2 linked regions of the Nothobranchius furzeri genome follow. The protein of the gene in region 1 purifies or fractionates together with the protein of each later gene. This does not show direct contact. Links are inferred from orthologs where the notes say so. Each region holds a gene or a part of one and is shown in the gene's direction. Other genes may lie near its edges.

Evidence for each region. The genes of interacting proteins can lie anywhere in the genome.
Region 2: the proteins of csnk1da (region 1) and bysl purify together in Homo sapiens (affinity purification with mass spectrometry; 3 studies listed by BioGRID and IntAct, with this or other methods). This does not show direct contact. The link is inferred for Nothobranchius furzeri from reciprocal best matches to the Homo sapiens genes CSNK1D and BYSL.

Annotation. Positions count from the first base shown.
Region 1 is NC_091758.1:11,452,551-11,459,218, forward strand, and holds the start of csnk1da (casein kinase I), read left to right. Parts: upstream 1-2,661; 5' UTR 2,662-2,892; coding exon 2,893-2,968; intron 2,969-6,668. UniProt on the Homo sapiens protein: Essential serine/threonine-protein kinase that regulates diverse cellular growth and survival processes including Wnt signaling, DNA repair and circadian rhythms. It can phosphorylate a large number of proteins.
Region 2 is NC_091743.1:46,641,620-46,647,645, reverse strand, and holds part of bysl (bystin), read left to right. Parts: intron 1-1,525; coding exon 1,526-1,686; intron 1,687-6,026. UniProt on the Homo sapiens protein: Required for processing of 20S pre-rRNA precursor and biogenesis of 40S ribosomal subunits. May be required for trophinin-dependent regulation of cell adhesion during implantation of human embryos.

The DNA of each region.
Region 1 (6,668 bases):
TCCACCTCCTGAAGAGGCTGAGGTCCTTCAGAGTTAGGCCTAATTTATACTTCTCCATCTGCGTCAGGATGGACGCACGCAACACCATTATACAGCCTTTCGAAGGCTCTCCATCAGGCTTGCAAGGATGGATGGAGTCAAGCTTTCTTTTTTAAACATCCGTCCGTCGAGACTGAAAACGTAAGCTTGTGATTGGTCAGGACGCCACTGTCATCTACAGCGCTGCCATTGCGCCCTCAAAATCATACAGAGAGAGGAGGATATCTAGCGGCAGGCATGGAGAAGCTTGAAGAATATCTAGCAGAAAAACTCTAAAAATATGAATGTTTTATTCCCCTGTGACTGGAGCACAGGAAGAAACTGAACAAGCTAGTCATAAAAGCTAGCTTGTTTCTGGGCTGTCATCTGGATTCAGTTGAGAATGTCGTGATAGGAGGATGCTGGTGAAGATGACCTCAGTCATCTGTTCAAAATGCTGCAGCTAGAGTTCTGATGAAAATTAAAAAGAAAGATCATATCTCTCCTGTCTTAGCTTCCCAACATTGGCTGCCTGTTAAATTTAGAACAGATTTTAAGGTCCATCTTCTCACATATTAAGTCACTCTTAATAACAAAAAAAACTCCATCATACATCAGTGACCTGATTGTTCCATATGTTCCTAACAGAGCATGTCTCTCTCTGACTGCAAGTTTACTGATGGTTCCTAGAATATCTAATGATAGGATGGGAGGCAGATTTTTTAGCTATCAGGCTCCTCTCTTGTGGAACCAGGTCCCAGCTTTAGTCTGTGAGGCAGACACCTTGGGTGTTTCTCATAGCCAAGAAACCTTGCCTTGATGTCTTGGCCCCGCCCTGGTTACCTAGGATATACTTCACCAGGAACCGCCATGGCGTGTTCCAATGTTCATGTTCTACTGAGGTGTCTGCTCTCTGTTTGTTAGCCGTTTAACTAGCTGAGCAAGGATAGGATGTAGCCTAGCCTTGGTCAAAAATGTCTCAGAATACACAGCGGTATTTTCAATAGGATGGTGGATCAGAAGCCGGCAGCTACTTTGCGAGCAAATTTCAAGTTCAAATGTAAATCAACTAATTGTAGCTATTGGGCAAATATCTGAAATGTTTTTTAGATCCAAAGATGTTAGCTATGGTTGGTTAGTTGCTTAGTAAATGCAGCTTTGGTGGCTAGCAAGTAGTAACTCGCTTACATATTTCATTTAACAAATATACACAATTTAAAATGTAAAAGGCTTTAAAATTGAAACTTATACATATAAAATTTATCTCCCACGTCACATGATGCAAATCTGTTCCATTTAACCATTTTCTTTGACCAAGGAAGGACATTGTCCTTGTAATATATTTAAAATTATATTATATTATATTATATTATATTATATTATATTATATTATATTATATTATATTATATTAAAACCAACAGGGAGTCAATTGGTGTGTTCCATTGGGGGACTCGAATATTCTAACTTCAGAGTAGGAACAATTAGCTGGAACGCTCCCAGAAGTCAGATGACCCTCTGAAAGTCTGGGAATTTGTTTTTCTAACTTCAAGGTTCAATCTAGCAGCTTCTCATAACAACAGTAGCTGTGGGTGAAGGAGTTTATTTTACAAGACACCCTTGTAAGGGTGCATCTAAAATCAGTGCTACACGTAGACTAGTGCTATATTTGACACCAAAAGTATGGTTCTGATAATGTCAAAGTCTATAATAGACATTCTATAGCTTAATCTAAATTAAGCACTACACTTTATAAACAGCTCTGCATAATAACTTTTAAGTTAGGAGAAAATAAAATAGTGTAAATAAGATACTATGTCATAATATAATTTCATAAGCAACCTAAGAGGAAAGCAAGCATCCATGTGTGGCATACAGACCCCCTTACGCTGTTTACAGATCATTTTTCGCTACTTTATGTTGGGTGAGATTGCATGGGGCATGTGCACACGACTGGTGTGCACCCATGTAGCCGTATCTCAGCTTAACTTGGAAAAACAACTTAAACTAAGCTGACCTGAGCCGTTTTTCCATTGCAGAATTTCTTGGACATTTTTTACGGTTTTAACTTTTTACATTCAACAACGTTCAACATTAATTCAGGCAAGATTTTCTGGTGTTATTTCACAACTATCTAGGTCTTGCCTAATTTTATTTGAGTTTTTACAAGTTCATGCGAGATGGACAGTGCATGATGGGCAGAGGCCAAGAGGACAAAGGAAACAATCTTTTGTTGTGACTGACCAGACACAATGATTTAGTGAAGATTGGTCTCTATCAGTAAACAAGAACAGAGGTAATGTTCTAGTAGCTATTAAAAATGTTTGAGTGTTGTATTTGCAATACAAAAAGCTTTATCGTTATTTTACGCTTTTCATATTGCTACATTTAATCTGCACAAACCGTACAAACAAAGGAACAAAACGTTACTAATAGGTGTATCTTCACTAACATGCTCTCTGGTGGATTCCTCTCCGCTCATCTTGCCAGGAAGTGACGTCAAACTCCTCCGATAAATTGCCTAGCAAGCTCTAAGCTAGTATCTGTAAGCCAGAGTACCGGAGCTGGTACCTAGCTTCGAAATCCAGCTTCATCCGTGTAAAATAAACGCGTACTGGTTTTTAACAATAGCAGGAGCAGAAAGAACAAGCGCTGACCTTTCCGACAAGCATCGTATTGTTTATAGATAATGTTAATAATATTGTGAAAAAGGAGGCGAAAAAGAAGCCCACAAATCCTGAGAAGACGAAATATATCGCTAAAACAGGATTTTGGATTCATATTTTTTTAATATTGTGTTGCGTTTGAACAAATTAGTTTTGTTACAAATATTGGAGCTAACGAGTGTAGTTGCTAGCCTGTCAGATTTTGTCAACATGGAGTTGAGAGTCGGAAACCGATACAGGCTGGGCAGAAAAATTGGAAGTGGATCATTTGGAGACATCTACTTGGGTATGTAATTTTCACGTTTCTTTCTGTTCACTTCGGCATTAAAAGAGGATAAAGGCCGGCTATTGTAAAGTTTAATCGAGTTTAATTGTGCTCGACTTTGGTAGCAGTTGTCTTTTGTGAGCGTCGTAATAATGAATACTGTGTAAAACAACGAAACTGACGCTAGCTGTGAAGCTAAAGGCTATGTTTAAGTTCCTGTTTCTTTTTTCCTTGTAAACGACGTTAGTCTGTGAGCAAAATGACCGACCAGACCGTGGTTTCAGAAACACTTGCATTTTTACTGGGTGAGAGTTTGTTATATTTACCCATTTACTGACGGTGAAGTATAAGGGAGTAGAATACATTAGGATATACTTTATTGATCCCACAGTGGGAAAATCCACTCGTTAAGGCAGCTCATACAGAGAAATACAGACTGTAGACAATTAATGCAGGTTGGCTGCTTTAAAGCAAAGATGAAGGTGATCCATTCATAGTTCACTACAACTAAAGCATAACCAGAAAAATAAAATGCCTACATTGAATCAAAGCATACTTACGTTTATTCTTGAGTTATATTCATAATAGTTCCAAAGAATAAATGTCCTTTATTTATATATAGCGCTTTCTACAATCCCCAAGGCATGACACACCCTTTCACACTGTTGATGATGAGCTACATAGCAGCCACAGCTGTCATGGGGACACTGATGGAAGCAAGGTGTCTTTTATAGGTTTTAACACCAGTTATGTGATGAAGCTTTTACTCCACAGATATAATTACTTATTAGGTGAAAGCAATTTGTGGATGAACGTGTGTCGATGACCAATACCTTTAAAAGTGACCGTTTTACTACTTGATACTGCTCATACACATGGTCAGAGATATATATACATTTCTACGTCCAAGTACAAGATGGTAAATACTAGGGTTGGGAATTGAAAACCGGTTCTTGTTGAGAACTGGTTCCCACAGTTGCAGTTCCTTGGAATCATTTGCCATTTTTGCATACGATTCCATTATCAATTCCATTTGGCGCAAATTACATCACCACTCATGTTGTGTAGCTTAAACGAGCTACGCGTTTAAGCCTGAGTCATGCTTCTGCGTCAGCTCCACAAGGGACAGACATGCACGGATTGATAGAAGCGTTTTACTGTCATACTTCCCCGTTTGCCCAAGGGGTGTTGCAAAGCAATTCTCTGCCAGGACAACATCGAGTTCTATTTGTTCCGGGAGCCACTTCTGGGACACGTCAATTCCCGCAGTTCACATAGTGCGAGACAGGAAACCACACGGTTTCAGTGTAAAATACCCGGTTATTTTCAAAATAAAATGCAACGTTACAATGTTATATATAACTTACGTCAGTAAGTGTGACCGAACAGCTTTGTTTACCACCAGTTTCTTTCGAGGAGTGCAACGGTGCGATTCTTCGCAGGGGTTGTGATCTCTCGATGAGGAAGGTGTCGGAAGTCTTGAGGGATTTTAGAATCTCGCGGGTACAACGAGGCACAGCGAGGAAGCCGTGCCGCGACCAAGACTCTCCCGGTGTGAAAAGGACCGCTTTAAAGTTCGCGAGTGAGCCGCTCCGCTGCTGTTCCGTTCCGCTGATACTTGCAGTGTGAAACCGGAGTCAGGCTTTACTGGGAAGGAAGAATGGCCTCTAAGTGGCACAAACGCTCAAAAGTTTGGGTATCCTTTAAGAGAAAGGACAACAACAGGGAAACTTGAATTACTTGCAGAATGTTTATTTAATCAATGGAGAATACACTACAAACATGCAATAGCATTTACGTACAAAATATGCGAACACTTAAAGTGAATGTCTTTGTTTTGACCAGCTCCAGAGACTAGTGAATTTCAATGCAGCAGCAGTGGTAATGTTTTCACGTCGTCTTCTGTAGGGCTGCCACAAATGACTAAATAGTCGACTAATCATCAGTTTTGTTGATGATTAGTCCAGGATGCTCTAATATACCCATCATTAGCTTCTAGTTTGAAGTAGGGAAATTATATGCAATTAAATTGTGATGTGACAAAAAAGATTTTCTAATCGCAAAGGCTGCGATTTGACTGGCAGAGAGTGGTTAGCACATTGCTAATATACATTGAAAAACCCTACGGGATGCTATTGATAATATCACTGATTACATTCTTACAAATTATAATTTAGGAACATGCTAAATGATTACTTTTGGAGTCTAATAAAAAGCAAAAACTGCCATCAATCAAAAAAGTACAGACAGATATTTTAATAAATCCAGAAAACACAAGAGACTTTAACTCCACTGAGGTTTGGCTAGCAGCTATGGACGCAACTGAACTACAGAAGCTCTGCATAGACAAGACGTCAAAAACATTAAACACTAAAGAGTAGGGCTGTTCAATTATGGCAAAAATGATAATCACGATTATTGTGACTGAACTTGAGGTCTCGATTATTTAATGTTGATTGATTTTATTTGTTATTTGTTCATAAAATTGCTCAGGGCACAATCGGGACAAAGAAGAAAAAGAAAGAAACCAGATCATAAAAGTTATTCCTGATTCCTAGAATAAAAAGATCAGTATAGTTGCTCAAAGTTTATGACTCAAGGGCTGTAGACCTTGTTTTCACTCGTTTAAGCCTAACCAGTATAGACCAAAAAACCAATATATTGCAAATGCTGACAGGAAGAATTATACTGTGGCATTTATAACATAAACATCTATGTTTAGTGATGTTCACAAAATGTTGCATAATATTTATTTAGTCCTGTCTAGGTGATGTAGGAGAGTGCACTAGCAACGTGTCCTCAGTCTCAGAGAGATTAATTATTATTTATCATTAGCAGCGTGAGGAACTTATTTCTGTCTATTTCTTCCTTATTTCTAAACTATTCATTTACAGGTCCCATCAGTTAATGTAATGAATCACTACATCATTCCCTTTCCTACTATCCTGAAGGACGGTCCCGATCTCTGGCGGAGTGTTTTCTAACCTGCAGGAAATGTCAACCACAGTTGTCCAGAAAGTGGTTAAGGGTTACCAGAAATGTTTCTGGGGTGTTCGTTTGGTCCTTTTAAGATTTAAAAAGTCAAGAAGGGGGTCTGAAAAGCTGTTGGAAATGGCTCCAAAGTCTTAAAGTTAGCAACACTGTGGGAGGAGCACTTGGTTTGCAACTCGGGGCAGCGCAAGAGGGAGAAGCAAATAATCGGCTTGTCTTGTTTTTATAATTGTTCAAAACTCAGATTGTAATTGGGATTAAAATTCGATGAATTGAGCAGCCCTACAAAAGACTTCAATAAACATTTGTTTCCTGCAGATACATTTTCACAGGTGTTGCTAATACCTAAGCTCCTTTTAACCTTTTAAGTGCAAAAGTCGCAATATTGCTGACTGTAACGAGCCACAGCTTCAAATATTGAAAATATTATAAAAGAATTAAAAATTGTTTTGTTGATCTTGTTGTTCCACACGTTTAGACGCAATGTTGATCTGACTTTCCTTCATATAACCAGTTGCTTCCTGTAGTGAGTCAAACCAAGCACTTACATAATCAGGTTTTCCATCACTCCATCCAATCCTATCAGAGTAGCTGATGACTAATGTGTTGCAACATCCTCACTGACTCAATCAACAGTGTGTGGTTCTGTTTAATCACTCACCTTGCTATTGGAGAAGCCCTACAGAAAGAAATTGTGCTCTCCCTATTTTCTTTATCCAACAAACTCCGA
Region 2 (6,026 bases), on another chromosome or scaffold:
CGGTGCAATTGGAAAAAGGAGCTTCAAGCACTTAACCTCCGATTTTGTTTTCTTTCTGGCCTTAGTTGGGGGGGGGACGGATCGGGATCGATCTGAATCTGGGGGGGACGGATCCCCCCCGTCCCCCACCCTATCTGCGCGCCTGTCTCTGTCGCCCACTCAAGGCTTGCTGCGTAACGTCACTGTCATGAAATCAAATCTCTTGTCTGCATAAGAGGCATGTTTACTGGCTGTTTTCCAACTCGCGTGCCCAAACAAACACATTAAGCAGCATTGAATAACGTTTTTATCAGGACTGTAGAACAACTTCATGCCAGACAAAACACAATAATCCCGGTGGAATAATTTATTACTTACCTATCCATTAGCAGCACGGCTAGGTCAGAGTCCGTAGTACATGCCATTCTTTCAAGAAGATCTCTCCAGCAAGGAAAAGTCAGCCCGATGTTAACTCTGCTCTTTGCTCTTGCTCTATCGCGTTCTCTTTTTCTTTTCCTAGATTCCTCTGATAAGGTATTTCTAGCTTTCTTTGGTGGATTTGCCATTGCTCAAGTCTCTAAACCGTGGGTCTACCACAGACATTTGTAGATGTCCTTTGGACTGGTGCTGCCTACTGGAGCTGTCGTAGTGGCCGGCCGCCATTCGTCTCCATTGCATTCATTTCTACTGAAGATGTTTACCCATTTAAAAAAACACATTTTATCAAGCTTTTTCACATAATAAGACAAGAGGTATGACATCATAATTAAAATATAAATATAACCAAACAAAATAAATAGGTAGGCTAGAAAAGTATACGAATCCCACATGATCAGTTTTCAATTGTATGCCATGTGTAACCGTAGGCTGCACAAAAACGGGCATAGTTGCTCACTCTGTTGTAGTTGATTTCGAAGAGTGAGGAGACCCATCCAATATGGCGGCGGCACTGTTAACGCTCTCCAGCGCCCAATGGGGCATCTACGTATTCAGGTCTATGGACGTGATACTGCCATAAAACAACACACAGTCAGTACTTCTGGGGGTGGAAAGCCGGTCAAAACCTGTACAGTGCAGTAAACAGACGTGGGACCCCATAGCACTATCACAGCTCCAAAATGAACATATCATAGAATGCCACCAAAAGCTTTCAAAAATATTATTTTAAAGTGTAAATGTTGCAGATTGTGTCTTTAAGCTAAGGATTTCCTACACATTACTGCTGAGTTTAGATCATTTGGGTTATTAACATGGCAGTAATTTAATTCAATTAAATTTCAATTCAAGTTTATTTATATAGCGCCAAATCACGACAAGAGTCATCTCGAGGCACTTCACATAATAAACATTCCAATACAGGCCAGTTCAGTAAGCCAATCAGTAAAAAGTTTCCTATATAAGGAACTCAGCAAATCGCATCAAGCAATCCTCATACTAAGCAAGCATTTAGCCAGAGTGGAGAGGAAAACTCCCTTTTAACAGGAAGAAACCTCCAGAGGATCCTGGCTCAGTAAATTTTGGCATTTTTTTTGTATTTCTTACACAGAATCTTCTCCTCCAATCTGAAAGAGCGAATGGCTCAGAGGTTTTATAACTTGGTGCTGCTGCCTCGAGTGCGGGACGACATTGCAGAATACAAACGACTAAACTTCCATCTTTACAGCGCCATGAAGAAGGCTTTGTTCAAACCAGGAGCGTGGTTTAAAGGTAGGACTCATACTATTAATCTAATGCATCTGCAGCACATTTAAATTTTTTGCTGAATTTGATGTGTTCCCTTTTAACTGAACATATTTGAGCTAAATCATGACAGTGAAATCAGCGATTCTTTCAGACTGAGTTTGAGAAAAGTACTTTTATTTGAGTACTCGCTGATATGAAGTACCAATACAAGTAGTTATAAATGTCAATATACTCCATAAAATGTACTTATAAACTGTTTATTTTCATGAGGCAAATACAGATGAGGCACTGGTATTGTGTCCTGTAGTGTCGGAGTTTATGAGTGGGAGTACATGCACGTGGTATCGGCCTGATAATCCGATGCCAGTATCAACACCAGTGCATTCCTGAATAAATTATTCCTCACCACATTTTTGATGAAGTAGAGGACACACCCTGAATGGTCTTTAAAGGGAAATTGTTCAACTTTTTCATATTTTTAAATAATTTTCTTGAGCCAGCATGTGCTAAAATGACCGTTTACGGGGTTAATGAGAAGTCACCCAGACGCCACCGCTCCTGTGGCCAGAATATTGCACTTGCAACTTCAAAGTGGTGGGCCGCCACCTGTTGGACTTAAAAATAATAGAGTTGACATGCCTGGTGCTAGGCTGGACCGATTCCTGATCAAAGAAGAGATATTAAATGACAGTTAGTATGGTTTTAGAACAAATCATTCAACATCCATGGCATTAATGGAATTAACAGAAGAAATATCGGAAGCCATTGACAAAAAACTCATCTCATAAGTATCTTTATTGATTTAACAAAAGCATTCGATACAGTGGATCATAAAATTCTTATTAAAAAACTTAGTAAATATGGCATCACAGGGATGGCCCTAAAATGGATAAGTTATCGACGGTGGCACAGGAGTTAAGTGCTCGCCCCGTAATCGGAAGGTTGCAGGTTCGAGCCCCACTCAGTCTGTCGCTGTCGTTGTGTCCTTGGGCAAGACACTTAACCCACGTTGCCTGCTGATGGAGGTCGGAGGGACTGGTGGCGCCAGTGCTCGGCAGCCTCGCCTCTGTCAGTGCGCCCCAGGGCAGCTGTGGTTACACCGTAGCTCATCCCCACCAGCGTGTGAATGTGTGTGTGAATGAGTGAATGACTGATTGTGTTGTAAAGCGCCTTGGGGGGTTCCAGGACTCTAGAAGGCGCTATATCAAATACAGGCCATTTACCATTTACCGATAGGCAGCAATATGTTCAAATAAACAACACAAAATCACATATAAATAACATTACTTGTGGTGTACCACAAGGGTCGGTATTGGGCCCTAAACTATTTATCATTTATATAAATGACATTGTTGAGGTATCCAATATATTAAAATGCACCTTATTTGCAGATGATATAACTTTTTATTATTCAGGAGATAATGTTGAGCAGATGATAGAAGTGATACAAACGGAGATGAAAAAAATTAAACTATGGTTTGATGGGAACAAGCTATCATTAAAGAGTGATAAATCATGTTTTATGATATTTAGTAATACATACATTCAAATGATGACATTTTATTAAATATAGATGAGATTAATATTAAAAGAGTTAAAGAAGTCAAGTATCTGGGAGTCATCATTGATGAAAAAATGTCTTGGAAACTACATATAAACAATGTCAAAACTAAAATATCTAAAACCATTGCACTGTTACATAGAGCAAAATGGTTACTTGATAATAATTCCCTATATTTGTTATATAACTCACTGATCATACCGTACCTGAACTACTGCATTGAAATCTGGGGAACAACATAAAAAATTTACACAAATTCCATTTACATCTTACAGAAAAAAGCAATAAGAATAATCACAAGGAGCAACTACAGAGATCCGTCCAATCCATTATTTATAAAAATTAAAAACACTAAAATTCTATGATCTGGTGGACTACAATATTTTAAAATTTTATGTATAATGCAAACAAAGGGTACATACCTGCAGGATTAATCAAAAGATTTACAAAAAGACATAGCAAATGATTTAAAAGGACACGACTTATTTAATATACCTAGACATCGGATACTCATAAAGGAACATTGTGTGTCCATATATGGAGTTAAAATGTGGAATAAATTAAATACTGAAATCAAGAATGCAAAAACAATATTGACTTTCAAAAAAGAGATAAAAAATGAAATGATTAACTTATATAGATCTGTTACATAAACGCGTGAGGGGAGGGGGGTTGGGGGGGTGAAAGAAAGAAAAAAGGGTAAAAAGGGAACAAGTGTATGTATGCATATGTGTATATGTAAGTATATATGTATATAACTTTATGCTTCTTTCTGTGTAACTTGTTTTCTCTTTTTTTTTCAATTAATGGGTTGAGGTTGTGTCGGCCAACCAGTCCAGAAACTATATTGTTCAAATTTTTTAAGAATCATATGATTGTCGTTGTCGTCTTCCTCCGCTTATCCGGGTCCGGTTCACGGGGGCAGCATCCCAACTAGGGAGCTCCAGACCATCCTCTCCCCGGCCTCCTCCACCAGCTCCTCCGGCAGGAACCCAAGGCGTTCCCGGACCAGATTGGAGATGTAACCTCTCCAACGTGTCCTGGGTCGACCCGAGGGCCTCCTGCCGGCAGGACATGCCTGAAACACCTCCCCAGGGAGGCGTCCAGGAGGCATCCTGACCAGATGCCCAAACCACCTCAACTGACTCCTTTCGATCCGGAGGAGCAGCGGTTCTACTCCGAGTCCCTCCCGAATGTCCGAGCTCCTCACCCTATCTCTAAGGCTGAGCCCGGCCACCCTACGGAGGAAACTCATTTCGGCCGCTTGTATTCGCGATCTTGTTCTTTCGGTCATTACCAAAGCTCAAGACCATAGGTGAGGATTGGGACGTAGATCGACCGGTAAATCGAGAACCTTATTTTAGTTAAAAGGGGCAGATAACATAAGTTTTTCTTCTTTCCGTCCACTTTTTCATTTTGGCTTTTAGCAATTTAGTTTTGTATTTTTATTTTAATTTCAATAAATGAAAATAAAGTTGAAAAAAAAAGTCACGTGGTTTGTGAGATCATCTTTACAGCAGGAGAAAAATCCAAACCGCCCCCTCAAATTCTCAGTGAAAACATCGAGATACAAAAGCTTTTGAAAAGATTCTTTCAAATCCATCAGTGCTTTTATTTATATTTTCCAACTTTGGCACACAGCTGCCAGGCCTGTAAACAGAAAGCACCATGTTTGGTTTTACGAATACTGGACCAGGATCCAGTTTCATGTGACCTTTGGAAGAAACAAGCGTGTGAAGAAGATGAATGAGAGGATTTTGTGTCTTATGTTTCAAAGCAGAAATATCAGGCTGCAGGGGACCTGACACAGTTGTGACTTTTGTACATGATTTATTATTTTTATACTGAGGATGCTAATGGAGGATTAGCTGCTGTCTGTTGAAGGAGTGACACCATTTTTCTGGCTGGATAAAAGTGTTAATTAATAGGTCAAATTAAGCTTTATATGTGGAATCAGATGTTTAAAAACATTCTTTTGATTTCATTTGTTTGAAAACACAAATCCCTGCAGTTTGAAGGGAACATTCTCCTGTTCTCTACCCTTTTATTCTACCCTTTCTCAGTGGCCTAGTGGTAGAGTGTCCGCCCTGAGACTGGGAGATCAGGGGTTCGATTCCTGGTCGGGTCATACCAAAGACTTTGAAAAAATGGGACCCAATGCCTCCCTGCTTGACACTCAGCATTAAGGGGTTGGATTGGGGGGTTAAACCACCAAATAGTTCCAGAGTGCAGCTGTGTCTGCAGCTCCCCCAGGGGATGGGTCAAATGCGGAGAACAAATTTCGCACACACACCTGTGTGTGTGACATCTAATGGGACTTTAACTTTTAACTTTAACAATCCATGACCTGAATTCAAAATAACTTCAGTTTGAGCCTTAAACACTAGGTGGCAGTGTTGCTCTAAGATCCATCATACTGGGAACTAGTGATGGGTGTTTTTCCATCCACAGTTCAGACTAATAAATGGTGGTAGATGATAAACTAACTCCAGTTCTCACCCACTACAGCTTCCATCCTACTGACTGAAACATTTGACACAGATCTTAAAGGATAACTAGACATGCGTGTATGTTAAACACCTTTAATGAAGCTTGAGCCATAATTAATGTATTGTTTCAAACTCAAGCTCCAGCAGAAGGTTTGTTGTTTATTAAAATACCTGTAAGAGTTTTATCTGAAATCCTCTGACCTGTAGATCACTTTGACATTGAAATCAAAATGGTAAAGATCTCTTTAAGCTTCAGTAAATCAATCTTGGTCATATCAAAGCAAATTTAATGAAACTTTCACAATGTGATTTCT